Linked DNA regions of Astyanax mexicanus. The protein of the gene in region 3 purifies or fractionates together with the protein of the main gene of each other region. This does not show direct contact. Links are inferred from orthologs where the notes say so. Each region holds a gene or a part of one and is shown on either strand. Other genes may lie near its edges. The genes, in order: bet1, bet1l and gosr1.

The links.
Region 1: the proteins of gosr1 (region 3) and bet1 purify together in Homo sapiens (affinity purification with mass spectrometry; 3 studies listed by BioGRID and IntAct, with this or other methods). This does not show direct contact. The link is inferred for Astyanax mexicanus from reciprocal best matches to the Homo sapiens genes GOSR1 and BET1.
Region 2: the proteins of gosr1 (region 3) and bet1l purify together in Homo sapiens (affinity purification with western blotting; 3 studies listed by BioGRID and IntAct, with this or other methods). This does not show direct contact. The link is inferred for Astyanax mexicanus from reciprocal best matches to the Homo sapiens genes GOSR1 and BET1L.

What each region holds. Positions count from the first base shown.
Region 1 is NC_064410.1:48,640,358-48,650,694, forward strand, and holds bet1 (BET1 homolog), read right to left. Parts: upstream 4,207-10,337; 5' UTR 4,018-4,206; coding exon 3,999-4,017; intron 2,558-3,998; coding exon 2,448-2,557; intron 1,979-2,447; coding exon 1,922-1,978; intron 1,622-1,921; coding exon 1,466-1,621; 3' UTR 844-1,465; downstream 1-843. UniProt on the Homo sapiens protein: Required for vesicular transport from the ER to the Golgi complex. Functions as a SNARE involved in the docking process of ER-derived vesicles with the cis-Golgi membrane.
Region 2 is NC_064409.1:47,836,949-47,847,419, reverse strand, and holds bet1l (BET1-like protein), read left to right. Parts: upstream 1-6,059; 5' UTR 6,060-6,263; coding exon 6,264-6,285; intron 6,286-7,857; coding exon 7,858-7,943; intron 7,944-8,067; coding exon 8,068-8,124; intron 8,125-8,332; coding exon 8,333-8,500; 3' UTR 8,501-8,965; downstream 8,966-10,471. Other genes in the region: kcnj11l (potassium inwardly rectifying channel subfamily J member 11, like), read right to left, coding at 213-655, 2,204-2,411, 2,515-2,784, 3,233-3,469, 3,660-3,818. UniProt on the Homo sapiens protein: Vesicle SNARE required for targeting and fusion of retrograde transport vesicles with the Golgi complex. Required for the integrity of the Golgi complex.
Region 3 is NC_064425.1:15,911,445-15,922,433, reverse strand, and holds the start of gosr1 (Golgi SNAP receptor complex member 1), read left to right. Parts: upstream 1-6,035; 5' UTR 6,036-6,167; coding exon 6,168-6,195; intron 6,196-9,100; coding exon 9,101-9,212; intron 9,213-9,331; coding exon 9,332-9,419; intron 9,420-10,943; coding exon 10,944-10,989. UniProt on the Homo sapiens protein: Involved in transport from the ER to the Golgi apparatus as well as in intra-Golgi transport. It belongs to a super-family of proteins called t-SNAREs or soluble NSF (N-ethylmaleimide-sensitive factor) attachment protein receptor.

The DNA.
Region 1 (10,337 bases), on a different chromosome or scaffold from region 3:
AATGCCCATAAATCTATTGAACTTACTATAAGCTACAATCAGTTGATCTAAAACTGTAGTGTATGAACTTTTATATTTGTGGGTGTCTACATAGCTTTTAGCTTTGCTCACAAGCACTCTAAATTAATAAGGTATAGATGTTATACTTTAAAACATAAATTCTGAACATGCTGATGTAAACACTTGTGTCCACTCTAAACCTCATTCATCACTCTGAGGGATAATATAAGCAACTCCACTACTTTAGCCAATTAATGGAATAATCCTTTTACTGGCATTGTGGATGCCTCCAAGGGGCAGCAAGGAAATATGGACAGTTCTTGTTAAAACACATATTAAATTTGCTTTGATTTTTAATAAAAAAAAAAAAACAGATTTATCATGTTGCCTTAACAAAAGGTATTTCTCTACTTGATAAGCTTGTAAATATACTGATTATTGTAGTTTTCTTGTACTATCTGTAACTGAATGTATGATCTCACTTATTTTACAAGAAAAGGAAAATAATTAATAAACAACCATACACAAACAGCAGACAATTCTCTTGTCATTTTTTCTTCCCAAGCAGAAGTTGAACAGAACCACATGATATATACCTAGAAGAGATTGAGTAATGCATCATAATGCTGGGCCTTCATAAAGTTATGTCAAGATAAAATGTAATATGTGCTTTTTGGAATAAAACACATATTAAATCAGGCAGGTCAAACTCCAAGTACAAGCTAAGAGAGTCTGTAAATACCTGTGTAAACCTACACTGTGGATCTCAGCTGATTGGTGCACTTGAGAGAGGGATATCCAGTTAGTACTGTTAAGTCTTTACAAAAAAAACTATACAGAACATTTTGGCTTCAGATGATTTTTAATGCCTGCCATTTTATTTATTTACAAGTTTCGTTAGAAATACAACATAAAATATGCATTCTTATTATAGAGATGAAATTAACACAAAACGCAAACCCAAATTACTCTTAGCAGTCGACAGTATTCAGTTAACGCAACAAAACAGACAATACTTGTGGCAGCGCATTTCTCTGCTTTGTCTGACCTGCGTCAGCAAGGCTTTTATCTGCTCACTCAGGTACATTAACATCCTTGTTTTGGGCCAGTTTATAATGATTATGCATTAAGTGATGTACAAAACAGCAGATACTGAACCATCACTCTTAACAGCTTGCAATGGCCCACACTGGTATTACATCATTGTCTTTGTATCTCTGGATAAATACTGACATCAAAAGCAATTAATCCTCTAAAATCACTAATGTGGCAGGAGGACATTGTGGCATGTTAAGAGGTTTCTGCCCACAGTACTGCACAATATCTGATAAAGATTTCCCAATAGGACAGATTTTAGTGGTACTCAATCTTCTTTATCCTTATCTTTACTGGTGATTCTGATCGTCTGATCCAATGGGCCATGGCACATGAGGGAGAGTATGTGTGAGATTCTTTAGTCCTTACATCACCTCAGTTTGATCACCCAGTAAAGGATTACGAAGACAAAGAGAGCAAACAGCAGCATGTAGCAGTAGATTTTGGTTTGGCTTCCTCTGGAAAGCAGCTTCAGTCTGCCCATGGTGGCTCCCAGCAAACCGCCAGTGGAGTCAAAATCTGTGTCCTACAAAGTTTTGAATAGAAACAGAATTTAAAGTTTAGACTTGTTGTGTGTTCAAGAAGGAAAAATACCAAACTGTGCTGGACAAGAATACTGGTTTAGGCAATCAGTGATGATCACCAGTGAGATAAGCACAACAAAGGCTTAACATAGTCTTAACAAATAACCTTAACAGTAACCCTAAATTAAGCAAAAAAGCCTGCATTAAAAAAAAACCCAAACAACCATGTGACAGGTTCCATTTGCATAATGTGTCACAATACAACATCCAACACAGGTCACATGACAAAAATGCAAACTTACCATCTCTCCCAACATTTTATTCTGGTGTTTGACTTCATTTCCAATGTCAATTGATAGCTGAAAGAAAACAAGAACAAACAAATGCATTAAATGTCAACCTCACCCCAAATTTACATTTAGATTAATTCAGTGTAAATATGTGAACAAATCCTCTTATTTATGAAGCAAAAAATATAATTTTTTTGCATACCTAGAAGATAATCATGTTAATTATCTTAAAGGCAAAAGATCAATCAATACATCAAAATGACCTATTACATCATTATGCACCAGCATGCACTGAACATACCATTAGATTAGAATATTCTACATTCACACGTGTTGCAGCCTGGACCATGTTTTATGCACCCAATTAGAACAAATGTTCTAAATTTAACAGGAAGGAGTGGAAAAAAGAGAAATAAGTGCAAAAAACATTAAGAAATAAATATTTTATCCTATTCAAAAAAAAAACAGTAGAACGATTATTAATGGGTTGTATACAAAATGATATGGACCCTAAATTGGTTAAAAGTAAAATACTTACATGCTTCAGTGCATTTACTTTTGCTCTAAGACCTTCCTGTAAATGTTCGTTCTCCTCCTCATAAACACTGTACCCACTTGCGACATAGTTTCCTTGTGGGGCTCCCTCACCTGTGAAACATTAACAGGTAACAGAAATGAGTTACATGTTGCAGTTACATTTGTACTTTTCTAAATAATAAACAAGTATACTTCCTCAAAAAGAATCTAACTTGTTATAATTTTCTCTTTTAGATTTATTTCTGCTGACTTATTTTTTGCACGTTAGTTTGTGATGTGTTGGTGACGGCACCTTAAAAATAGCCTGTCACTTCTGAACTTTGACTACAAGCATGTAATCAAAGATCAATCGTATAAAAATTATTATATTAATTTTATTAATAATATTTTTGATCTTTTTTTTTTTTTTTACTCTGAATCTAATAAAACATATTCAACTATTCAAAACATATACTGATCAAACTCAGGAAGCTTTACTTAGTTTTTTTACAAGGTTTCTAATCCAAAGATGGTTACAAAAATCATGTGGCATTTAAAAAGCAGGTTTAAAAGCAAGTCCACAAATTCCTTTGATTTTCTCTTAAGAAAGTCTTTATTTTAAAAAACCTTTTTAAAAAACTGCATGTTCAAATAACTGATATTCCAGACAGAAATCACACCTGTTAACAACACTCATTCCTGTTAATGGAACTCATTTGTAGTATCAATTTGTAGATATAGATATTTAATTTAATGCTTTGTCATATTGCCAAGAATATCGTTATCACAAAAAATACAATGACATATTGTGATATGATTTGAGGGCCAAGCCTAGCTAAAAGCAAGCTAGCTTCACAGACTAAGTTGACAGACTCTCCAAAGAGGAACCCAAGAGGTTCCTCTGCAAAAGAAATATGGTGTTCCTGGTACATAATTTTATATCTAGCTTCTTAAGTCATTGAGGTATGAACCGTTTCACTTTGGATTACTTAACCTAGGTGTGAAAGTGAAAGTACAGAGTGAAGAATAAGCAGTAGGATAGTCTGACTGATTCAGTGTGCAGTCTACACCCTGGTTAGTTATAACGGTACTTGTATATTTATCTGGCTAGCTATCACAACAACTCTGTGGTCTTCTGCAGAACAGCGATAAAACATTATATTAGCTTAGATTTAGGTTATATAATTAGCTACATAACAAATGAACAAGAGTTTGGTAGCTAGCTATTAGCAAAACATCTGTTCGTGGCCTTGTTATCTAAGTTAGCTAATTAACTAGCTAGGTTAGCTTGTTGGCCAGGTAGAAAGTTCCACGTAGGAAGTTCCAGCTAGCTAGCGTTAGAAAGCTTAGCTAACGCAGATTGTGTATAAACTAGCTATAGCTACCTAACAAAACCCGCAGTAAATATAAACAGGTTCTATTCTGACAGTGTTTAGACTGTGTGCTCTACATTAGCCTCTGACAGGCAGGCGGCACCGGCTGGAGCCGTCTAACCCAGTTAGCTTAGCTTAGCTTAGCTTAGCTTAGCTAACCTATCCAACTGTGATTCATATAACTGCATAGAGTGACTCACCCAGCCCTGCTCGCCTCATTTTACAGTCTGCACCTAAACTCAGCCCCTCTCTCCCTCAGTCCCCCGCCGCTCAGGGTTCAGTATAAATATAAGTTAATGCTGAATTAGCTCCAGAGTCAGTCACAGATCTGTAGTTACATTAGCCAGCGCTGCAACTTTAGCCTACGTCCTCTCGACACGACATCCTTCGGGAGCCGCGACGCTTACAGCGATAGAGGCTTTTGGGTAATGTAGTTCTTTGTGTGTTTCAGCGTGGATTACACACATATCAAACGTGTCAAAAATAAGTAAAGACTTTATTACTCAGGTAGAAATATAGACACTAGGGTTTAAAATAGTTATTTAAAAGTTGAAGTATCAACTCAAGTTTTTAACCCAAATAAAAGTGTAAAAGTAATGGTTCTAAAACTACTAACAGTATGAAAGCAAAAGTAATGTAAGTGGGAAAAATGTCATTAAGGACAAAAGCTTAAGCTCTCTCCAAAACACATTTTTCTTAAAGGCATACTGACAGAAAAAAGTCTGTTTTGCCTGTGTGTACTTTTGCGTTCACTCTTGGGCCACTCGTTCCATATTCCGGGAGATTTTATCTGACTTGCGGGCATCTGGTTTTATTGAATTCATGTCTAATATGTATTTTCTGAATTTCTCTGATATAACAGCTCAATTCTTATTCTTCAGGTTAAAGGGCTTCCTCCTTTAAACAGCTATAACATGTATTTGTATCAGGCTACAAACAGGGCTGCTTTATAAATTCATGCAATGCAACTATGTCTTAAAAGCATTTGACACTGTTTTACTCTTATTCAGTGTGGGCATACCTTTTCCTAATATTACTTTTATATTTTTTACACTTACTTTTTAAGTAAAATCTGTTATTTCACTTGTTTTAGTGCTTTTTAAAACATGTTGATCCACAGCATAAAGGCTATAAAACTCGAACTATGCAGCCTTTCAACACACCTTTAACCTAAATATCTAAAATAAAATGATGTAGCCTAAAATATACACTTGCTTCTCATCCAACACTTCTCAGTCTTGACCGTTTGCTATTTTATCAGCCATTCCTCATCATTCTCATGTAATAGAGCTAATCACCTCAAAGTCCCTGTGAAATCCTAACTTTTCTAACGTTACCTCAATCACCTCAAAGTCCCTGTGAAATCCTAACTTTACTAACGTTGCTACCTGTTTATGTGCTACAGTCTGTCTCTCGGATTTTGAAATTTAAGTCTCAAAAGTAGGACGTCTGGTCACCCTAGCTTAGCTCTATATGTAATGTGTAGAGGCCATAGAGCACCATCATTACAGAGAACAATGTTCCACTGCTCCACTGCTTAATTAGTGAGACCTATACTGTTGATTGTTGGTGTGCATTTGCACATCTTTGTCATTAATGGATGCAACTTAAAGCAGCTAAATGTGTTTTTTTATAAGTGGTCAACATTTGAACACATAGTGTAGGTAGTTAGAAATAGAGATTTAAATGGTAAAAGTTTAACATTTAGTGTGCAGTGTAGGAAATAGGGAAGAACATGGTATGAAGTTAAGCTGGCATGTACAACACTGTGCAAATAAGCAAACAGTAGTGGATAGCTAATAAATGATTTATATTTATAAACGCAGCATGTCTGGTGTATTGTCCTATGCTGTGTATACATATTTACAAACTCATATTTCAAATGCCACTGGGCAGGATCTAATATCATGTCTTTTGTCATATTACATGGATAAAGACTGCTGCACTGACCTGCGGGATATGTGTGTGGTTCCTCCTGCATTGAATGTGGATGTGATTTTTTTTTTGCATGGACAGTTCTAGCCAGTCACAGACGATAATAATTATAGTAGTATATGATATACAATACATTCACACTGAAATGAACCCATTAAATATCTTTTGATCCCTGGAAACAGCTCAAAAAAGCAATGCGTTCACCACTAACAGGGTTATAAACAGCTTGGAGGGATCCTGTGAAATTCTTTGCAAGAGTGATTCAGAATGATGACCACTGTAATAGAAGAGGGCGTAGATTTATAGGATATCACAGAGACATGCTTAAGTGGTTATATTAATGCTAGCTCACTTCAGGTTCAGGTTCTGTAACCTGGTTTAAAACTTGACAGTGGCTAATTCCTTTGACTCATGTAATATGGAGAGGCAGTGTGTGCTTTAATATGACAGCATGTAGCCCGAAGGTGAAGCGTAAATGAGCTCTCTAAAGCCATTAACGGGAATGTGATTGGAAAGCTCTGAACCACTGTGGTCAGTAATTTGCTGCTGCACCACAGACTGTGTTTTTGAATCATCACTGCACCCATGCAGTATATCATATCATATCCTACATGTTGCATTTTGTGGGTACACCATATTCCAATATAATTGCATTTAATATACCATCACAAATCATAATATCTGGGACTTCCATTTGTTAAGGCTTATCTATTCCTGCATTCCAGGCTCACAACACATTCCAAGCAAAATGTTGTGGGATTTTATGGCTGGAGCTTTGGATTAATTATTATAATTATTATAATTTTGCATAGACCTCCACACCATAAAAACATGTACTTTGCAAAACCAATGCAAAGTAAAAAACCAATGCAAAACCACTGCAGTCTTGTGTTGCCTATAAATAATGTTTGGAGAATTTTGCAATGAAAAATGTGATGACCCCACACTGTTGCACATCCCATATTGTCACAACCTTTTTGGAATTTTGTTTTAAGACAGAAATAAAGGAATGGATGTACTGTATATTGGAAAATATTGAGAAATTAATTTATACAGTATATATTGGGTATATATTAGGTTGTATATTTTACATGTTACTGAGATGTATCCCACATCCATGTGCATTGCATTTTGCATTATCTAGTTTTGCTTTTTATTCTAGCCCATGCTGTCATTTCTTATTTCCTGTTGTATTGTGTAAGATGTGTAATATCTGTCTCATTTGTGCAATGCCCCTTTATACAGTCTCAATACCCCCTCCTACAATCACAATTTCAATACCTGCCCCTCTCCCCTGCTTTATGAAGATTATGCTGGTGTGCAATAAAAAAATAATAAAATGCAATAATATGCAATTCATGCCGTTCAGTAAATTCACATAGCAAGTTACTTTAGTAGTGCATTAGGCCTAGCTCCACTGGCATATCACCACTGTCTAAATTAAGCAATATAGCTCTAAGATATTACATTTACACAAGAAGGCAAAACATCCCATATTTGGTTTATATTGGTCTATACGTTTTTAATAATTTATGAGGGGAATTCATATATAATATCAGCACAGGTAGAAACAATGTGCTTTATTTACACTGATATATAAAAAATAATAATAAAATACACTTTATTTCTAAATATTTTCTGGACACACTCACAGATGACACACACAAACATACAGCTTGCCTATTCCCAGTAAAGAATTGTTGCCAGTAGAATAGGACTCTTTAAAGCAGATTAACATGAAGCTACTGACACCAAAGGGAAAAAAGACGTCCATCTTTGAGCTGTGGAGCAGTGGAACTGTGTTCTCTAGATTTATGGAGCTCCAACCAATACATTTGGAATGAGTTGGGGCATTTGTGATGAGGCAGGGTGGTGATTATTCAACATCCTAACCTCACTACAATTTTCCTTTGTTCTCAAAAAGTTCCTATGTTCTATTCTGTTTTGTTTCATTGTTTTGTTTTGTTTAATAAATACATTTGCGTCCACATTTTTGCTAGGTTACCTGTATGTGGTGGCGTAATACACTGAGAGCTTTGGCTACAGTGCATTACCGGCTGATAACAGCACTCATAGAATGCTTCTCACATTGCAGGGTCAGAACTAACTGTGGTATAATATACAGTAAACATTCTATACAAAGACAAAGGGCATAAAGACAAAGTGACAGTTCATATTGGGCTGTTAGAGCACAAAGGGTTATCAATGACAGGATTGTGGATTTGGTCCCCAGATTGGTACTCTTTTACCAAGCAGCAATAGTTTACTAGTGTGTATGTGTGTGTTCACTGCATTCCATCTGTACCCATAACAGGTATTGTTAATAGTCTTGTCATGTCTTGTTTAATAATGGATGTGAGAAAGTTGAACAGAACAGGTCTGTCCTGTTAATGACTCAATGCACAGTAATGTTCTGGAACAGTGAAGATGTGCTGCACAGTGTTATCACTGCTTGTGCAAATGATGTAATGTTTCTTGCAACATCAGAGCTAAACGTGTCTGAAATGTCAAGAAAATGTCATACAAAAGTACAGCCAAAGTATTTCTCAAATGACTAATGAGAAAAATAAAAATACAGATATAGTCATGTGCACAACTGGAGCATCCCTGATTGAAGTTGATAAATATTCCCAATAGAGAATATATTTTGGCACATTGTTATACATACATAATACATACATAATTATTGTTAATTTGCTTAAAAAAATTGAATGTTGAACAAAATATGGATATATAAATGTTATGGTAAACTTATGTTTAATTATACCACAGTTAGTTCTGTCCCTGCAATGTGATTGGCTGAGAGGAGTTTAATGAGTAACATTATCAGCCAGTAATGCACTGTAACCAAAGCTCTCCATGTATTACTCCGCGCATACATAACCTAGCAACATTGAAGCACTTACAGCACAGCTGCAAGCAGAGCAGCAATTAACTATTTTACCTCGCAGAGTCTTTACAACCAAACAGATCATATTTTCTCGTTCTTTTGAACTCAAAATCTTTTAATAAACAGTGATAATGAAACTGTGGTACAATCACAATAATACACTAGAGGTTTATGCTATACCGTGTAATATTGGCACAGTGCCATTTTTACACGTTATAGCATGAACCTCAAGTGTATTATTGCTTATATATGTACTTAAAGCACTAAAAGCTAATGTTAGCTAATGTTTAGCATGTTGTGAAGTTTGAATGTGTGTGTGGGTGGGTTTGAAATCTGCGGAAAGCGACAGCATGTTTAGTGTTTGACTTCTAGTCAGTTCCTCAGGAACAAGGCCAGGGAGTCTGCAGAGCAGTGTGTGAGTCGAGGCACAGCAGGTCGTCTGTCATCAGCATTCATCATCATGCTCACAAATCCATTCCATTTCAGTGCAAACTGTGGGTTAACGGCCTCGCTGTGATCAGTCTATTTTTCTCCCATGTGCTCAGGAGACACCATGATCTGCTGGAGATTTACATTTCAATCTTTGTAGAACATTAGCTGATGACATTGGGCAGTCCATAGATAAGTGGTCAATGACAGGTTTTGTTGTTTTGGCTCAATAGTGCTTTGGAATTGGAATGGAACATGCAGAGCGCAGTAAATCAGCTTTAATTCAAGCGTATTTATATGTAGATTGGCTGAACCATATGGCAACCTGGGCATGCAGGTGTTCAGAGTGCTGAAGGAGCTCACAGTCCCATTTCGGGGGACCATAAGTAATTGAACAATTATCAAGCAATCTTAAATAAAAATTGTCATGTTTGCAATCATGTTTGCCTGATTTGCAATCCTTTCAACCCCATGACTCCCTGAAGTCTGCAGCACATAGGCATCATCAAATGTTGGGAATCTTTCCTGGGGATGTTTTTGTTACATCCATTTCCTCTTTGGTCTTTAGGCTTTAAATTATGTATCAAATAAAATATGTCCAGAACGGTAACATACACTATGTGTCTGTATTTTGTGGACACCCCTTATATGTAAAATGTAAAATGTATAGCAGCTAATAGACAATGGTGCCATATACAACGCTACCATTATAAAGCCAATTAAACAATATTTTTTCCCCACCTCCAGGAGATGGCTTCTACATAGTAAGTATAAGGTGTAAGGTGTTATCTTGTGAGTGAGGTTCAACACTGGACAGGATGCTAATGACAAGGCAATGTGAATTGAATTAAGTTCGAAAAAAGGCCTAATCAGCGTCACATTTGTACCAGGAAATAAATCATAGAAGGCAATACCACCTACAGTTGACAGTGCAGTGGGCTGTAAAGATCATGGTTGGCGGCCCCACATGCATATTCTGCAGGTCTGTGCAGTGTTTTTTTTTTTTAGGTTTCCTGGGACATGGCAAAAGTCATGGGACATAAAACCTGTGTTCCTGGGTGTGATTATCACACAGCTGTTCTTTTACAATTGATTGCAAATTGCTTTATCACACCATCAAGCGGATCCAGATATGAGTCACGATCAGCGAACACACTTTGCTTTGATACATCCCATGTCTCGCATTGCCTTTCTATCTCTCGCTGACTCACTTCTGTGCATGCTTATGAGACAAGGGCTTACTGAGTTACCCCTGCAAGTTCTCAAATCATCCTTAAAGATTCCT
Region 2 (10,471 bases), on a different chromosome or scaffold from region 3:
TTTAGTAAAGTGCAGATATATAAAGGAAAGATTCATTAAAATTCATTTTTAAAAAAGTTCATTAAAAATTAAAGCAGCTTCCCATTTATCTCAAATTAAAAACACCACAATGTTGCATTGTTTAAAAAAAATCTCAACAGCATTAAAAGCACTCTGTAGCTACACTGTTATTTCCACAGCAGTAACCAGGGTACAGTATATCAGCTATATTTTTAATCACTCATATCCTCTGTGGCTTCCTCCTCAATCTCTCTCCCTATCACCTCTAGTTTCACCATCTTCTTTTGCCCCTTCTTTTCTTTCCCTTTCTCATCGTCCTCCTTTTCGGCTGGAGCGTACCATGGCCTGGCTGCATTGTCATCACAGGCCCGGCCTCCACCCCTTCTGTACCCGCCCCGTCCAGCACGAACCAGCCCCCAGCCCTGTGGCTTGCCCTCGTGTGGGCCATTGTCCTGCACTCCTCTGGTCTGGTCCAGCTCCTTGGCGCTGAGGGCGGGCATTCGGACAGGCACAGTGTTGCCAAATTTTGAGTAATCCACCGAGTAGCGTCCGTCCTCCTCAGTCATGATGGAGACAAAGCGCCGCCCCCACAGGATCTCATCTGGCGTGTAAGATGTGCGTGCCTGCATGGTGATGCCAGTCGTCTCCACAACGCCTGTCGATGAAACAAAGGGTTATTTAATAAACCTAACTGTGTTAAATGTAGCTTTCAGAAAATGTTGCATCTGACAGTTTCTTAATTGTTATTGCACACTGCCTGTCTCAAAACTCGATGTTCTTGGCTATAAAAAAGTGCAGTTATTGCATCCTAAGACTTATCAATCAGTAACAACAAGAAAAACAGGTTGTTCTTGATTATTCTAAAATGCTAAAAATGACAGCCTGGACCCGTCTGGCCTATTTAAGGATAAAAATAGTGGGGCAAAATGTATTTAGTCAGCCACCGGTTGTGCAAGTTCTCTAACTTGGAAAGATGAGTGTGTAGTTTTCATCATAGGTACACTTCAGCTATGAGAGACAAAACAAGAAAAAAATTCAGTAAATCACAATGTAGAACCGAGGTCAAACGTTTCCTGTAAGTCTTCAACAGGCTTGCACATACTGTAGCTGGTATTTTGGCCTATTCCTCCATGCAAATCCCCTCTACAGCAGTGATGATTTGGTGCTGTCCCTCCACAAATATTCTATAGGGTTGAGGTCTGCAGACTGGCTAGACCACTCCAGGACCTTGAAATGCTTTTTTACTGAGCCACTCCTTCATTGCCGAGCAGTGTGTTTGGGATCACTGTCATGCTGAACACCTAGACACATTCAATCTTCAATGCTCTCACTGATTAAAGTAGGGTTTTGGCTTAGAATCTCACAATATTTGTCCCCATAAATTCTTCCCTTAACACAGATCAGTCGTCCTGCCCCTTTGCAGAAAAACAGCCCAAAGCATGCTGTTTCCACCCTTATGTTTTTGGAATGCAACTCAGTATTCTTCTTTCTCTAAACATGACCAGTTGAGTTTTCTTCTGGATCATCCATATTTTGTTTGCCTTTGTTACTTTGGTCCCAACTCTGCAGGTCATTCTTTAGGTTCCTCTGTGTATTTCTGGGATTTCTGCTCACCGTTTTCATGATCATTTTGACCCTATGGGATGAGATCTTGCGTGGGTCCCCAGATGGAGGGAGATAATTAATGATCCTGTATGTCTACAGTTCTTTAGTCTTTGCCATGGTGGAGCTGAAGTCTGATTGTTTGAGGCGATGGAGAGGTTTCTTTTCTACAGATAACGAGGTCAAACAGGTGCAAATAATACAGGTAAGAAGTGGAGGATGTTACAGGTCTGTGAGAGACAGAAATCTCGCTTGTTTGTTACTGACCAAATACTTATTTTCCACCATAATTTACAAAAGTCCTACAATGGTATTTTTTTCTCTTTTTTCTCAAGTGTAACTATGATGAAAATTACAGACCTCTCTCATCTTTGTAAATAGAAGACAGTGGCCACTGTAAACTCTAATGATAATTGTTGTGCATTAATATGTAATTTTAATTTACTAAGCATATTTTTCATTTTTATTATTTTTTAATATCAATTTAAGAATTTAAGTTTTTATAGCACAACAAAGTAGTGATTTCATTACGTCACATGAATTTCCCTTATATTAAATGCAATGGCATGCATGACATCACACAGGCCAGAAAACAACCTACCTTCCAGAATTACAATGATTTCTAGGTCCTCATTGGGCAGTGACTGGGCAGAGACCTCATAAAGTGGGCTTCCTCTCTCAATAGTGTGACTAATGATCAGTGGTGAGACCAGGAAGATGCCATTGCTCCTGAGGGGGTTTTCCACCTGGATGTCCAGCTGGCAGACTGGAATCACCTCCCCTTCTGCTGTTACTGTCCTCCGAATGACCTGAGCACAGAGTGACAGAACACGATCAACCAACATCCACCTCGTGGAACTAGAGCACCTTTACCTGCAATAGACTATAATAAACAGCTCAGCTCTTCCTCACCTGCAGCTGAATGGTAGCAGAAATTATCATGCTCTTCCTCAAGTCTCCAACACGGAACATGAACGTGGGCCTGCCATTGCGTGGTGCGATGACAGCATTGCGAGAGAAGATGAGTGTCTCTGCTCGTCGATTAGCCTGAGCTGTCTTCATGAACACACAGCCCAGCATAACTGCATTGATGATGAGTCCCAGAATGTTCTGGATGATCAGAACGGTAATGGCCAGTGGGCACTCCTCAGTCACCATCCTCCCACCGAAACCGATGGTCACCTAACATTAAAAATAAAAAATACAAGATTGTTTAGGGTTGCTCAGAAAGCCAACACATTTTTTTCATTGGTTATCATTAATTTTGCCACTTTTTTCATCAGTGAGTAAAATTAAATAGGTAACACATTTTTGTCTGGGTTTAAAAAAAAAATAAAAAATTTTGACTGAACACACTAAACTCTGAACATGTTTAGCATTCTAGAGGACACACAAACAATATTGTTCAGTACAAATTATTCAATCTTTTCACTTATTTAGCAGAATACCAAAAGTGCTCTTTTTTGGCCAAATAATATAGGGTTCTGAACATTTGGTGCATCCCTAGTATTGTTAGGGTTGTTATATGTGCCTTTTCAACTCTATATAGAACCCTTTTGCTATGAGTGTAGACATCTAAATAGTACAAGACTGTCCACCAAAGTTTCAGTCTATGCAGCCATTTGCTCACCTGGACTTCGATCGAGAAGAGGAATGCTGAGGTAAAAGAGTGAATGGCAGTGACACATGGAACATGCCCACGATCATGGGGGTCACGTGGCTCCAGGTCACCGTGGGCAAATGCCAGGAGCCACCACACCATGGCAAAGAGCATCCAGGAACAGAGAAATGCTGAGGTGAAGATGAGCAGCGAATGCTGCCACTTGAGGTCGACCATTGTGGTGAAAACATCCTGGAGGAACCGACCCTGAAAGGAGAAATAAAAGTATGCGAATAATTCATACTGATGCATCTTTATCAAAGAAGAGCTTTATAAAATAGTGAAATACAGACATTTTTCACTTTATCAAGAATCAGTTTAACAGGTTATAGAATGATGTGAATGCATAGCAAAAACAATTTTATAAAGTAATGACTGCGTGATCCAAGTGCTCTACCTGTTCTCGTATGTTCTTATGAGCAACATTGCAGGATCCGCTCTTGGTGATGAAGCGAGCTCGCTGCGATTTGGTCCGGAAACGGTTGGGCTGTGTGGCATCTTCAGCCAGTCTTGTCAGCAGAAATCCATCAGGCAGGAGGCCTTTCCGGGCCAACATTGCTGAGTTTTAGAGGTTTGCTCTTAAAAACTATACAATAAAACACTAAATAAACTACTATTCAGTTTTTTTTTATTAGTTTATCATAATAGTGTCTACTTTAAAGGTTGTTTTATGAAATCAATCTATTTCTATTTGAGAAAAGACTAAGTTACGTTATTAAATGACAAAGTTACAAATTAAATTAGTTATTCTGTTATTCATGGGAAATGCTGTTCTTGAAACAGTAGTTTAATTTCACTGTGCTCAACAATACCAGTGAAACAACAGGTTTGAGTAAAGACCACTACAAAACATAGCTAGGCTATCACTCAAAATACTATGGTTCAATTACTGACAGATTATATCCCAGTTTTTTTTTAATCCAGCTATCCACTCAAGAGTAGAGATATGGAATTACAGCACCAAAGAGAGATTAATATTATTATCTCCAGCTTTAGTTTAACAGCATGAACGTGACCCACTCACATCCAGGTGTATCAGATTTCACTGGATTTAATCTATCCACGTTTACAGAAGCCTTTTTTATTTTCGTCGGTAATAAATCTTACCATTGTTTTACCATAAAAATCAGATAAATAAAAATCGTTAAATCTACGCTGTATTACAACTGAGGCATTACTAATTAAAACAGCAGATTATCACCAGTCTAAACACAGCACTCGACAGGACTCACTTGCTACGTGCGCAGTGTGATATTAACTACAACAACAACAAAATACAGTTTTTATTTAATCACATAAACACTGGCAGCTAGGTTTAGCTTGCTAACATACAAAATCGCCAAGTTGCCTTATCTAGTGCTCTCTGTTTAGCTATCGATACCTAAGAGAGGTCAGATAGCCAGGTTAGCTCGCTTATTTGAATGGATGGTCATCCAGCCGCCATTCGCCATAAACCCCCATCATAGATAAACAATTCCTATGTAAGCTCGAGTTAATAACGCTGAAATACTTAACCCGCGAAATTCGCAACAAAATACAGAATAATTCCAGGAAATAAATGAAGTTAAGATCATCCTCATGCGCGCGAGAGAGCTGTCTGGCGGGTTCTTTACGGAGGATGCTCGCGTTATCTAGCTGAGCATCTTATGCAACGCATCTGTGATGATGATCAGCAGCAGCAGCAGTGTCTCTGAGCGGAGCGCCGCCGCAGCTCCACATCTCATCCCCCAACCAGAGGACCAACATATCCCACAACCCCCCGCGCCTCCTCGCTCAGGATATAACAACCATAGATAGTAATACATAGATGAAACTGGCGTGTCAGCGTGGCCGCCATATTGGAAGAGTCAATCATGCGCCCCCAGTGCATTTATTAGTGAAAGGTGTTTAATACACCTATAATAATCACAAATCTACCAATTTATACCCGATTTTCACACGGTTTGGTTTGTTACAAACAGCAGAGATGTAGTAATGATTCAGGACACTGCCACACATTACGAATATGTGATTTCAAGCTGAAATACTTTATATTATGCTCTTTAACAAAGACAGACATATGGTATGACATATTAATAAGTGTATACATGAATTAATTTTATATTTATATGTACATACATACGCATATATACATGCTTACACATACACATACACACACACACACACAATACTAATAAATGCATTCATGGGTTCATAGTTGACTCCTCCAATATGGCGGCAGGCTATGTAGCGTCTATATATACATGTCTATGCTCTATGTGGCATCTATGTATAAATGTCTGTGCTCAAAACGCCTGGCCAGCAGAAGAGCCTCTGATAGAGAGGAGAATACCCAGTCGAGAATCATTTCCGGGCTTTTTAGGGGGCGCTCCCGGCCGAAAGCTGATTTTATAAAAGTTTTATATTTTTAATTTTCAACAAACACTAATTTCTCACAACAATATCACATGTTTCAGCACCGCACACATGATTTTAAACGCTTTCAAACTGCAGTTACAAACCTTTTAAAGACGCCTTTGTTGAATCTCCATCAAAAGCTCACCAACCAGTCAGACCACAGTAGCAGTAATGCTAGCGAGTTTGTTGTCCAAAAAAAAAGAAAACCATTCAAACATTTCTTAGCCTTTTTTGTAGCAAAATACTCTATTTCTCTTTCTATAATTATGGTAATATCCTGGGTACATAGTTAGACACTATTTTAATTTAAGTTTTTAGCCGTTTAGCTCCACTCACCACATTCATTAAGGACTCCCTCGCGGGCTCCCTCTGGCGGCCAGCGGTAATTCTCTGATATAACAGGAGAGACAGGTATAGTGTGAACTCTCTATAACCCGGCTCTGATCTCACACAGACTCCTGCCGTGTTGTGGATTGTGACGAAACGGTCTCATACGAGTGACTATTGGTATCTGAGTGTCTTTTAAGACTGATTTTATTCAGGTTTCTTCTCCGTCACTGTGATTTAACAGCGGGACTCTCATAGTGAAGGATCGTCTGTAAAGATGGCTGATCACTGGAACAGGGGTGAGTGACACGTCGCTCCTCTTATACAGCAGTTTTTAAAGTTAGAGAGGGCTAACTGGATCTCCTCAGTTTATCAGTTTACATCAAACTGAAATTCACCGTATTTATTCTACTTCTGACACTAAAGTATCAGTTCTTTACCTCTAATGTTCTTCGATCATAATGAAATGCCATTTACACGGTGTATTAGCTCATCTGCGCATTTACACTGGTTGGGTTAGCTAGCTTTAGCTGTGTTAACATATCAGAGGATCCTGTTGTCAAGATTCCAGATTCACTCAAATCCACTGTACAAACATTCACACGAGGCTCTTATAAATTATAATTAGTAATTTCACTGTCAAGCGTTATGTTGTTTAAATTGGGTGAAAAATAGAGCATATAATATAATCTGCTTCTCAAATATGGAGGACCAGAACTGCCAATATAATTAATTAATTAATTAATAAAAAGGAAATGAAGAAACAAAAAAGAAGTAAGGAGTAAACAAACACTAGCTAATTAGTTAATTCATTTATTTTTTATTTTGACATTTCTGGTCCTCCAAAACACCTAAATAAAATATAGACATAAACTGTTCCCTAAATGTTAGAAATCGTTTTCTCATTTTAACCATCTGTTCCTTCTATAAAATTAACTATTTGTTCAGTTAAGAAGGAGTCCTTTTGTTAAATTGAGGAAACAGTTTAATATATTGAGTGAATGTTTTTTTTTTATTAAGGAAATGCTTTATTAAATCAAAATAACATTCTATTAAATTAATGGATTGTTGTAAGTCTCTAAATATTACATTTTTCAAAGAATAAATAAATACATAAAGGAAACACTAAAATAACACATTGTATATGTGTCTCAGATACTTTTGAGACAAAAGCATCAGCTGTTTGCCAAAATGGGAGGGGCACTGGGTGATGGGGTGGGCAGAAGGAGGAGCTGATTGGGCTGAGCAGTGTGCCTCTAATAGCGGTGAGATGTAGATGTTGGACCTCAGTAGGGGGCAGTATTATTGATTGACTGATTTGCAGATTGTGAGTGTCTGTGAACCAAAGTACACCGACACATCATCCTCACCTATAACAGTCGAACCTGAGAGGGTGCTGCAGAGGCAGAAATGATGGCAATAAAAGAGTTTTTTAAAGGTTAGGAAATGTTTATAAAAAAATATATATATATATATATATATGTAGAAGGTTTGTTTTCATTTTAGCTATTAATTTCAGCTATTAATGAAAAAAATATGGTTTGGGGTCCCTTTAAGAGGAAGCACTTTAATTAAACTGAGGAAACAATTTATTAAATTGAGTGAATGGATTTTTTATTTAGAGTGAATGCTTTATTAAATAGGGGGAATCTTTATTACAGTGAACAAAAATATTATTAAATCAAGAGAACAATTCACTAAATTGAGGGAACATTTTTAGTCTCTTAGAATTATTGTCACCTTGATAGAATCACATGTTACCTGCACAAAAAAGGTAATCCAATAATTTTATGGTTAATTAAAAAAAAGTATTATTTACTTTTGTGTTTAACTATAAAATGTATGTGCATCTTTTACCACTGTCTTCCTAGGACATGGGGCTGTAGATGACATGCTGGATGAAGAAAACAAACGCATGGCTGACAATCTGGCAACCAAAGTATCTAGATTGAAGTCGGTATGTTATAATCACTTATATCAGTCAATGAAGACAGTCTGTCTAAATAATTAACAATGTGTTCATGATTGGGCTAAATTTATAAATGTACTTTGTTTTTATTTATCTGTTTTGTCATTCACAGCTGGCATTTGAAATTGACAAAGAGGCTGACGAACAGAATTCATACTTGGATGGCATGGTGTGTGTTTTCTCTGACTCAATTTAGAATTTATCTAAAAAACACTGCTGTAATATATCCTAAGACTAGATATATTATGTTCAAGATCAAATGTATGTTTAGAAAAGTGTTTCTTAGGTCTGAATAGCCAATCTTTTACAGTATAGTTTCATGTAATGGAAACATGAGGTCTGTAAATATGGTAATTTTTTGTATCATCTTCCTTTAGGACTCAAACTTCCTCAGTGCAACTGGACTGTTGACAGGGAGCGTGAAGAGGTTTTCCACAATGGTCCGCTCCAGCAGAGACAACCGAAAGATTTTATGTTATGTATCCATAGGCTTGGTGTTGACATTCTTTTTGCTTTATTATCTAGTCAGGAGAATACAGAACTGAAAAATATTTATATATTATCTTCTCAGTTTTATGAGAAACAAACATGTGTGAATGCAGTACTCTATTCTTCATGTTTACACAAAAACAGTTTTACTAATGGGCTTGCTGGTTCTAAACCTGGTATATTTAAAGGGTGAAGTGAACTGAAAATAATTTCTTTAAGATCTGTCTGTTGTTTTCCAAAAGACTTTATAACTATAAAAATATTTCTTTCATGCATTCCAATCTTATTACAAAATAAATTGTTTTTTAAAGACACTTGTTATGCTTGAAAACATAATGAGTATACCATGGACCAATTTCTGTTCTTCTAAATGTTTTCTCTTTTGTGTGCATACATACATGCTTGATTTGAGTGTGAATGCTTTGATCTTATATGGCTGAACTTTAAATCAAATTGTTGAGTATGTAGCTAAGAGTTATGTTTAATACTGAGAGTAGATATAGTATATAAGAAAAATAACTAATAAAGTTTGTTTTTTAAACATTTTTGTTTTCTTTTATAATTTTTTTTATCTTGATTGAAGTGAATAATTTGTTACAGACTAGAAAATGGGCATGCTGACAGGAACGAGAATTATTATTATATGGTCCAGGCTCCTTCTGCTTTCTAGCTCTAGTCTCATTAGTAGATTACATTAGTTTGTAGTTAATTGTATGCTGTCTATGTCATTTTTGTTATATATCTATACAAACTGATTGGACATGTTTTTAAAACCACTGTCCATTTTACCAGCTCCACACAACACTGTGTACATTTAACCTGGACGTAACTCATCTAATGGATATACTTTAGAGTAGTCAGAGGTGACATGAGGTGAAATGAGCCATGATGCTCCTTCTCTTTCTCACTGAACACATCACTTACAGGAGGGGAAAAAACATTGCCCGCCCTCACATTGCCCGCCCTTTCTGTTTTACATGTGCATTATAAATATGCACACGAGGATAGCACCTTTCACTCACACACACGATTAGGAAAAAAGTCTGTGTCGCCTGCGTGCGCGCCTTGGGCCACTTGTTCTAGATTCCGAAAGATTTTATCTGACTTGCGGGCATCAGGGAGCCGTTGTTGATATGCGGTAGACTCCCGAAACTTTTTTTTTTATCTTGACCTTCTAATAAAACCAACTGTGTTTTATGTTATCATAAAATAACATAAAATAACAACAGTTTTTATTTTTGGTTCATGCAAATTGTGTCCTGAACATTGTAAATAATGTTCTGTGCAGCTCATTGTGTTTCATTGTTTACCAGTTTAATTTCTCTAAATGGGACATGGTGTCAGAATTTGAATGTGTATCCCATGGCTGGCATTTGATGAGTAACAGAAACTGGAAAAGCAGCATGCTGGCATCAGTAGAGATGGGGCTGCAACGATTAGTCAAAATAATCGATAATGTTGATTATTTAAATTTGTCAACTACAAATTTCTTTGTTGACTAATCGTTCATTTGTAACAGTACTGCATTACACAAAGTGCTGGGGACAAAAGCACAATGAAACATGGGTAAATGGATCACTCACTTAGGTTACACTCAATTTATTCTGTGTCTTCAAAAGTGCCCAAACCCAACAGATTAGTTACATATTTAATCACTAAATATCAGTACTCTCCATGTTTAACCAACAGCTAGACATTTAAATGCCTATAAATCTTATGTTCATCAGTTTCTATCATTTCGACTAATCGAAAAATCGAAAAAATATTCATTAGTTGCAGCCCTAGTAGAGAAAGGAATGTCTTGGGAGATGTGTTAAACATTAGCTAGCTAGCTAGTGCAAAAAGGGAATCATCGTAAACATGTAAGTATGTTCTATTGTTTTATTTTATGATGTTGTAACTGAAATGTTGGTCTGGTTTCACCTCTGGCGGGTGGAGTTTAGCAGTGTGGAGCTGGTGGTAACCCCGGCCCCGGGTCGGTAGAGGGCGGTACTGCAGACAGCGGAGGATCCATGTGGACCAAGTTC
Region 3 (10,989 bases):
AGAAATCAATCACAGGATGCACTTTACTGCCACGATTGGTCCAAATTAGTCATCTGTTTCACACCTTGATGTATGCAAATAATCGCTGTACAGATTCACTGTACTATCTGCCCACAGCCAGCCCTATATTTATTTGAGTTTGGATAGTGTTATCTTTCTGCTTGTTAGTGTGTGAGTAACCTCTCAGCAGCTCTTCCAGCAGGTGTCCAGTCCGTACAGAACCAGTACAGCACTAACTGAACTGCCCAAGTGAACAGAAACTCAACAGGATTACTGAACACAGTGCCTTGTCTGATTAGTTTGAGCCATTGTTGCCTGTTGGCTTGTCGTGAGGTGTGAAGACGGGTGTAGGTAGTGTAATTCAGACTCTCCTCTCTGCCATACTTTTTACATTTGGGTCGTTACATAAGAAGCCTTTCTCTTTATTCACACACTGTCCCATACAATAACCCCTGGAGTTACAGGAAACAGGCGAGAGGTTGTGGAAATAAAGACATTTCTCTGAGAACGAGTGCTGCTTATGCATCACGTTTTTTTCTCTCTGTTTATGAGGACTTGGGTAAGTCAGGTGGAAACATGAGGGCAAGATCCAAACCACCTCAACTCTAAATCAGATCATGCATTGCCTTTCTGTGCTCACACTCTTAAAAAAAACAAAACAAAAAAAAAACAGGGTGCTACAAACGTTTTTTGAACAATCGTAGTATAACAGTCACTTATTCAGTTAGCATGCTGGCTAAGCTATTAATTGACCTATTATTTTCAATTCTTTGACCTATTACTTTCACACAAGGGTCACAGTTTATGTGCAAATATGCATTGTATGTAACAGGAGATGAACATTATGTGGTTCTGAGGCTCTTTTCCATGTTTAATTTTACACTGATTAGAATATAAATTAAATACAGTGGGGAATTAACAGAGTTAACAGTGCAGCAGATGGGGACCTCAGGCCCTTGTCTCTGTAACTAGTGTGAATAATGCATTCAGCCAATCAATTTAGAAATGAATAAGTTCTTTTAAAATTATTAAGGAAATTTTGAGTTAATGCTTGCCAATTTTCACCAAATCATGGCTCCAAATTATGTCCTCCCAGCGGAAATAACTGGTTGCAGTCATGCTTGATGCAGCAAAGCCTCCATATGTCTGTGAAGTCTGCCATTATTTTTTCCCTTTATTCAATCACATTTTTTTTTAAGCAAAGCCAGCCAAACCTTATCTCTGAAAGAACCATTTTTGGTTCAATAATACCATATTTGTCATAGAAATGATTTAAAAATATGAAAAATCTTTTCTTAATAAAGGTTCCATTTAAAAGGTTCTTTACAATCACTTTGTATCTCTATTCCAAACAAAAGTTGTTTTCTTTTTAGTATCGTTCAAAGAACCGTTAGTAGCATTTAGTTTTTTTTTTTTTTTTTTTTTTAAAGAGTGCAGTTCTTGAGCACTGTAACATTGTAACGGGGTAACAGTACACATTAGTCACGGGTTGGTGTGCATCACTGCTTAAACCTTGCAAAATATATACACAAAAAAAAAAACGTTTTACTTCAATCTAGTGCCGCATTCCATAGAATATTGGTCTAATACTGATGCAGTTTCCATTATACCATATAAATTTACTTATTTTCTGGGTAATACACACACTTGTGAAATCACTGTTTTTACCCAAACAGCATATATTTATCTATGCTACATTATCATACCATACATTCTTTTTGTGACTGCCTACAATTAACTTTTACCCACGTACTGTTACACCCCTATTATACACATACACACCGGGTCAGTTTGTTGCCTAGCTTTCACTCAAAGCCTCACTTTAACTCACATTTGCTAAGAATACACAGGATTGTATGGAAGCCTTCAGTCACTTCAGAGTGAGTGGTATTCAGCTTGCCAAGAATGTATAAAGTTGTTTCTTTAATTTTTTTTTATTTTATTTGATATATTTTCTTTGCACTCTTTCAGCAGGCTTGTTTGTGCATATCTAATCTACTTAAATATACTGGGGTATTAAATGTTGGAGATTTGTACACAGATAGAGTTGATGTTGGCCACACACTGTTTTAAAAGCTGTTAACTATGTTTGTTGTTTCTCAGAGAATCCTCCAGTCACAGTTGATCAGAAGTACTGAGTGGAAAATGTGATTTTATAGGGATTTCACTGGATTCTAATTATGAACTGAATAAGTAGATAGCTCTGGTAGAGAATCTCTGGAAAAGGCAATAACATATTTGATTTGTTTGTTGATTTCTTTATGAATTTGTCATGTTTCCCACATTTTTACTGATGTAAACTAGGGCTGCACGATATTGGAAATATTTTGCAGAAGGATGTGTTTTTGCAATATTAATTATTCATTCATTAATTTAGCCACTTTAATACTATTTAAGTACTTAAATAGACTAAATTTTCCTTTCAATGGTAAATCTACATTCAGAATGCTGTGTAGCATTCCCCATAAAGGCTGACCCCTTTATGGGGAAACACTGTACTGTATTATGGAGATATAATCTGCCTCTGGTAGATTAGTCATATTAGATTTTATTAAATATATTACGTATTTTCTTTGCGCTTATTTTGAGTTCAAATGACTTAAAATAAGATAAACTCTAAATTAGACTGATTTAAGAGATTTATTCCTAAAATAAACAAAATAATCACATAATCAATTAACATTTAGAATGCTTAGCCAGACAAAGTCTTATTAGAAAAGAACATGAGATTTATGGCTTTAAAATTAGATCATTTCACTTGCTGTTTAAAGCAGCAATAATGTTTAATGTTCAGTTAAGTTTGCTGCACATGATTTTACATTTTGCAATTATTGTTCATTGTGATGTCTATGCTTAAACAATATATTGTGCAGCCCTAATGTAAACTGCATATTGAAAATCAGTCAGTCAGTTTGCATATTTAAATTATCAAAAAAAATCTGATCCTTATTAGGAGTTTGGTCAGTTTAAAGACCCTTTCCACTCAAATCTGCATGTCCTTTTCTATATCCTAGCGTTTCAGTCACTAAAAACTGCTTTTTTTTTTTTTTTTTTTTTTTTTTTTTTAGAAACACCCATAAAGCTGGAAATTGTATTTATTTATTTTTTTCTGTTTTCAGTTTAGTTGTGTAGACAGGAAAAAAACGAGCTTGTTTCTATTTCTGGCCGAACCTCTAAATCTTCTAAATTTAGAATCTATAGTTTTGTGACTTGCATAATACACTACTTGAGGAGTAGTATGTATTGTAGGATTAAACCTCTGTGTTTTCTTTCTGCTAATGTCTCTCCCAATGATGTACCTTCAGCCCTTAAAGTCTCTGTATGGAGGGAGATATTTTAAAAAACAGAGGAAAACGTCTGATTGAAAAAATTCATGAATATGTGTGGACCAGGGGTCACCTTCACCAATCGCTCTAAAGTAGAAATTTGTTCTTAAACTCTCTAAAGCAGCTTTTATAAGGATACAGACATTAACCAGTATTTTGTTATTTGGATTTTGTTAAGTTTGTAATGATGGACAGACTTTTTGGACTTTAGATTTTTTTGTGACAAATGAAAGAAAATACTTAGGAAAGTATTGGTGAGTGAGACCCCATAACTCATCCTTTCTATTAAGAATCAAGCTGATATTTTATTAATCCATCTGAGCGAGGTTTTAATGTATGTAGTTATCATTTGGTCATCTCAATTAGTAATAAAATATAAGATTTTATACAGTGCCCCTGCTTTAAATGTATAATATATCTAGGCAAAATCATTTTCTGCCTTAAAGATTTTTTCATTTTTTTTGTTTTCATGTATTAAGATGTTGATTTAGTATTTCCACAGGTAATTCATGTTATCATGCATAAGAATGCAGACTGTGTCCTATACAAAAATTCAGACTATGATTTTCTTATTTTGGTGTTCGCATTATTTTGTCCATCCCCAGAGCATATGAAATGCAATATGTAAAACTGTTGGTAACCATCCTGTATTGTCTCCAGTGTTTGTTTTTGTTTGTTTAATTGATTCAGTTATGAAGTTACTGCACCACCATTAAGAAACACAGTGTACAGTAGAAAGGCTTGGGGAAAGGTCCATTTGTTCACTGTTTGTTTCCATTGCTACATGAACTCAATATGATGGCTTTTCTGCTGATTTTCATGCTTGAGTGCAAACCTTGGTTGTGTGCTTGCGTGTGTGTGTGTGAGACTGAACAATTGTGTATAGCTTTTGTATGGTCTGGTTGTGCTGATGTGTATATATATTTTTTCCTTTTTATACAAAAGGGATTGATTGTAGATAGCTACGTGATGCCAACCGTATGTAAAATGATTTAAGTGCAATTTGGGTGGACGGTGGAACACAGTGTGAATAAACTGCTGTTTATATCTGATGCTGAAATGACTCGAATGTCTGACTTGAATCTGTAACTGAGACTAAATAAGTGTGAGTAAAAATATTGTGGTGAATATTTTTTATTTATGATGATACAAAAAGGTGTTTGTGTTTGTGTCATCATCAAAGAAATTGGGCAGAGAATCTAAACTCTGTGACAGTGCTACACTGAGGAACTCTGAGTGGTCCGGTAAGCCAGGGCAGCTAGCAGTTTGTTAAGACTTTGGGCTAAGCAAGTAATCTGTGATATGGCCCAAATGGCCTACCTGTAGCAATGCACCTGTTAAACATACTAATTGGCGATGCTAATGGACCAGGACCTGTCCATAGAAAAGAAGTTATCAAACTTCTGAAACAAAAGAGAGGTAGTCTCCATATATGGTACCAACAATTGATAGATTTTTAACAAATTGTGAAGTATGCGTTCAATACAATTACAGAAAGTCTCTGACTGCACTCAGACATATTTTTGTGCCAGATGGTCCATTCAGACACTTAAAACGTACAGGGTTCTGAACATATTTATTAACCACAGAATGTGACAACGGCCAGTTTTTGAAAAGCCTATTCAAATTTCCCATAGATCTGAACCTCTTAGACACGAAACCCCAAATATGGGCATAAACAACATGGCACCCACTACAAAATAATGACACGACTTCAGTGGTCTATAGCAGGCAAGGCCCACAGAGTCACCCCAGTTTTACTATGTGCCAGTTAAAGTGTGACAGGTGGGGTGTCGACCAGCAAATAGCCAAATGCCAGGTTCTTTAAAACGGCAGCAGGAAAGTGTGTTGGAAAATACAATATTCAGGTGTTTTAAGAAGCTCTTTATGATTGTTTTATGTGCAGTTATTTATAAACAACAGCAATAATTAGACACACTCTACTGACTGGATTACCTTTCTGGTGGCATGTTTTTACTTGGAACTTGGAAAATCTTCTTAGCTACAGTGCAGCAATGAGCAGGAATTTACTACAGGAAACTACAGGAATTACTATATTGAAAATCACCTCCATACGAGACAGCCTATATCTGTTTTAGTTTTTTTTTTTTTTTTCGTTTAGTGGAGTTACCTCTTGCCTTTAAATTTCTTGTTTTCATTTATTTGTGTATTTATTTAATCTACCCTTTTCATTATTTTTGATCACCTTTTGTATGGCGTTTTTGTTTATTTCTAATTATATTCTCCATCTTTTTCTTTAATTTAATTGTTATTTGTTTACTAATTATATTTCATATTTAGGTGTTTATAATAGTTTTGACTGCTTTAAATAGTTTATGATATTATATTTTATTAACTATTATAATTATATAATTATATATATATATAATAGCTTATTAATAAATAGTAACATTTTAGCTTGTCTACTTTTAATTTTAACTTTAATTTAATTCCCTTAGGTTTTTATTTAAAATCGTGTCCCTTTTTTAATTACATTTTTAATAGCATTTCTTTTATTGTTAGCTTGTGCAATTATTCATTTTAGTTTATCCCGATTAAAATCAATAAAAATAGATATTTTTATTAAGTCAAGTTGTAAATGCTAGGCTGCATAAAAAGTCAGGGCTCCCCTCACTGAAAATAAAGGTAGATTGATTTATTTTATATTAAATCACAGGTAACGTTATTATAAAAAAGTAGGATCTGTGTTGTTGAGGCTGGGAGCGGGCTGTGTGTGAGCGGGTGCTCGGGGCGCAGGGCGGCGCTGTGGGTAGATTTTCAGGGCTGAGCCGCGGAGTCTTCCTTCTGCCAGCGCGACGCGGATGACGTTCAACAACAAAGATGGCAGGAAACAGCAACTATTGGGAAGGTGAGGTGGCAGATTGGCGTTATTTAGGCTGTATGTGGTGTTTTAAGCGCTCGGGAGACGTTTATTCTAACTTTTCCGCTCTGTATGGTGCTGTCTGAGGCGGCCAGGCCTGACCGAAACACAGGGACACACTTTACCAGAGCGCCGTTAAGTAACGCTAGCGCGGGTAGCTAAGCTAAGCTAAGCTAAGCTGGCTAACGTAACGTCAGTGATTTAGCCGAGCACGGAGTCGGGTAGCCGGTGTTAATAATGTTCAGCTAGAATATCAAACTCCTTACAGAATAATTTGTCAGCTATTTTTATGAATACCTGACTGGTGATATAGCCTGTTTATTATCCTAATGGCTTCGTCTAACAACTGAAGAGTGATGTAGTTAGCTAGCTAATTAGCAAGCTAGCCAGCTGGCTGTGGGTTAGAGTTGGGATAAGTTAGCTTAGCTGACGCTATATAACTACAGACCTGGAAAAAAATAAGAGAACACTTTATTTTCTGAATCAGTTTATCTGATTTTGCTATTTATGGGTATACTGTATGTTTGAGTAAAATTGACATTGTTGTTTTATTCTATAAACTACGGATAATATTTCTCCCAAATTCCAATAAAAATATTGACGTTTAAAGCTTAACGTTATTTTAACTTAACGTTATTTACAGAAAATGTGAAATGGCTAAAATATCACAAAAAGATGCAGAGATTTCAGACAAAGCTTCAAAAAATGCAAAGAAAACAAGTTCATATTCATAAAGCTTTAAGGAATAACCCTGGTTTTATGCTTCTGACATGTTCTCCTCCACCAGACTTACACACCGCTTTTGACATCTTCCTCAAAACTATATTTTAGAGCTTTTAAATTTGGTAAAATCAAAAACTCATCATTTTAAGTGTTTTCCTATAATTTTTTTCCAGCGCTGTATCTATAGACCTAACGCTAGCTAGTTATCGAGCTATGTATCCTAGTCCATTTAACGCTGGTTAATGTATTATATAATCTTGTTGATATGTAGATGTTCCTGTCTTACAAAGCAGAAAATAAAGGAATATTGAGCTCTGTGATAAAAGCACTTTAGTTACAACGTAAACGCAACTCGCTAGTTAAAAAATCTGCTTTGTTTGCCCCATGTTTCATTAGCTAATCTAGGTTAATTAGCTAGCTATCTACCTCTCATTCAGACTGACAGGCATCTGATAACATGGTGTCATCCACTGACTGATATCATGGCCTTCTTTTTAAAGTCTTCTTGTGTGTGATTGGCATTAGATGTAAGTAGTAGTATTTTCTTATTGCCCTGACATTTTGATAAGATATGATAAGAAAATGTATCACAATACCATAAAATATCAATATATGAAATCAATGCACACTAGAAGACTTGTGATATTTGTTTGTTTACAACATGGTACAGTCTGTCCTGAAAGTTTCTTTAAGTATTGATATGGTAAAAACAGAGGTGGAAAGTAATGAATTACATTTACTCAAGTTACTGTAATTGAGTAGATTTTATGAGTAATTTATCATTTTTAAAGTAGTTTTTAAAATAGGGAATTTAAATTTTACTCAAGTACATTTTTGACACAAGTAATTTACTTTGCTACATTGGAAAACTCCCCGTTACTGAGTAAAAAAAATGCTGGGGGAAAAAAAAAACAATTGTCTCAATTAAAAAAAAAAAATTGGCACCGATGCTCGCGCGTGGAATAACGAGGCAATAACGTCCTCATGCAATGCAAAATGTGCCCCACCAGACAGCTGTCAGCTTTCAAAACTTTCACATCAAACCTGCGGAAGCATGTGGTGTAAGTACTTTTATCATTAAACAATCTGCTTAAATGTTAAAAAACATGTAAATAGCAGTTAAAGCATAGCAATGGCAAGTTAAAATATAATAATAATGAACTGTAAAACTATAAAAATACAGTTTATAGTAACCTATATTACCATAACTTTTTAATAGTAAAGAAAAAAAAATGGATCATAGAAACCTATGCCACTTGTTTTATGGGGTGGTCTGAATAAATACTGCCTTAAAGGTCCAAATAATTATGTGGAATAATAGTTCATTAAACAAAATTTAATTTATTATTTGTTTTTACTTTTGTATATCAAATAATTAAAAGTTTTTACTCAAAGTACATTTTAAATTGAGTACTTTTTGCTTTTACTCGAGTAGATTTTTAGATGGGTACTTTTACTTGAGTAGAATTTTAGCAAAGTAAAGGTACTTTTACTTAATTACAATTTTTCAGTACCTTTTCCACCTCTGGGTAAAAATATATCACCCATTAGCCTGTGATTATGTACACTAACAATGGTGACTATATTGTTATATTGACTATACTGACATTGATATAGAGAGATGATATCGTATTAAATGATTTTTTGTGTGTGTTTCTCTCAAATCAAATGCCAACCATACACTAGAAAACTTTAACAGTTCTAAAAGTGTAAAAAAAAATCCATTGTTTGGTTGGTATTAGAATGTCAAAAAGATATAGCATAATGTGGACAAGACCCTGGTTAAATGAACTAAGACAGCTGCCAAAAAGCTAATATTATTAATATTATCAAGATAGATGCACACTGTAACTCTTGCAGCTCTCATGTGTTTTCCTTATGACATTTTAAATTGGTCTGCTTCAAAGAAATTGCCTGGAAAGAAAGACTTTGGTGTGAGGCCGGCATTAAATGTAATCTAGGGGTGCCCAATCCTGGTCCTGGAGGTCTGACAATCTGCACGTTTCCTGTAGAAACCTAATCTATTGATCAAGGTAGTAAAGGCCATGCATCAGAATGAAGTCTTTAGGCTGCTAGGTTTCCAGGACCATGATTGGGCACACTTTATGCCAATGAACCCTCTTCTCTAATATTTGTGTTTTTTTTTTTGTTTTTTTTTGTCCTGTTAAAGACTTGCGCAAGCAGGCCAGACAGCTGGAGAATGAGCTCGACCTGAAGCTGGTGTCCTTCAGTAAACTGTGCACCAGCTACAGCAGCTCGCGGGATGGTCGGAGAGGAGACAGGTACCTGTGAATAGCAGCAAGTGAAGCTGCAGCGACACAGTTGCATTTATGTTTAATTTATGACTGTCGAAACACCCTTTTCTTATTTTAGTTTTGTTCTCTGTTTTCCTTTCTAACAGTTCTGACACAACACCCCTCCTCAACAACTCCACTCAAGACAGAATGTTTGAGACCATGTCAGTCGAGATTGAGCAGCTTCTTGCTAAAGTTAGTAATCTTTATTTTTTTGTTGTTGTTATTGAGCTTATGGTATACTATGATATGAAAATGTATGGTGCTTATACCATGGACCTTTTTTTATTACCGATATTGGTGGAAATATACAATTTCTTACCCACACACGTACATCTCCATTCTACCTTGACTGCCCAATAGTTTCAACATCTGACACCAACTTCAAACACATTCAGTGCAGAAAACAACAGACAATAATAAACAAAAACATCTAAAATCAGCAGCAGCATGGGATTATTTTGGATACCCCCTAGAGGAATTGTTGGTTCATCGACATTGTCAAGACAAGCTGTTTGTAGTGCTTTGTCTGTTAGCATCGTAATGTTAACCTGTCTGAGCCCAGCTGTTATTTCACCTATCCCGCTATTCTAGGAGTCATAGTGCAGGTTCAGAATAACCTTCTAACATGTTATAGGTATCAGAGCAAACAACAAAAGTTTAAATACTGCTCTGAATTTTTTTTGTTTCCTTTATTTTGCTATTTATAGGAATATGTATGATTAAAATTAACATTGTTGTTTTATTCCATAAATTATGATTATTATTTCCAATAATGAGAAATGGCTGAAATAACAAAAAATATAATAATGCAAAGAAAACAAGTTCATATTCATAAAGTTTTAAGCATCCAGAAATGATTATTGGGTGGTTTTTAATCACAGTTTTCATGCATCTTGGCATGTTCTCCTCCACCAGTCTTACACATTGCTTTTGGATAACTTTATGCCACTCCTGGTGGAAAAATTCAAGCAGTTCTGCTTGGTTTGATGGCTGGTGATCATCCATCTTCCTCTTGATTACATTCCAAAGATTTTCAATTTGGTAAAATCTCTCTTTTTTTTTTTTTTTTACAGAGCTGTATATGAACAATATGAAAACAGCTAAATCCATGTATTTCCAGAAATGTATTAAAATCCCTTAGCAGCCATCCAGGGCATAGGTATTGGTCTGTGAAGCACCCTATTTATAAATCTGTTTATATGTATTGTTCTGTTGATGCTTTAGGGTATGGATCACCAATCTTATCCACAATAGGCCGGTGTGGGTTCAGGATTTTATTCAAATAAAGCAGAAGCACTTCTAATTGTACTTGCTCAGTCAGCTAGCTTAAGCCTTTAAACAAGTGGTTAACTATATAGGATGTGCTTCTGCTTGGTTGGTATGAAAACCTGAACCCACACCCGCCCATAGTAGATAATATTGGTAACCCATGCTTTTATGGTAATTGTGAAATAGTGTAATGCAGTGATACCCTGATATTTTCTGATGTGGTGATTATTCCATGAAAATCTCATGTTGCCACTAATTTGATCATATTAGATATGTTAATGGGCTACAATAAAAAACGGATTATCCCTTCAGTGTCTCTTAATGTCTAGGCTATGGTATCTACACCATTTTTTCTCTGGTTTCATATTTCACAGGATAACCACAGGTTTAAGTGTGATTTATTTTTATATTTATTTATTCATTTTTGTCCTGTTCTCTTTATTCTAGCTTACAGGTATAAATGACAAAATGGCAGAGTATGCGAGCACACCAG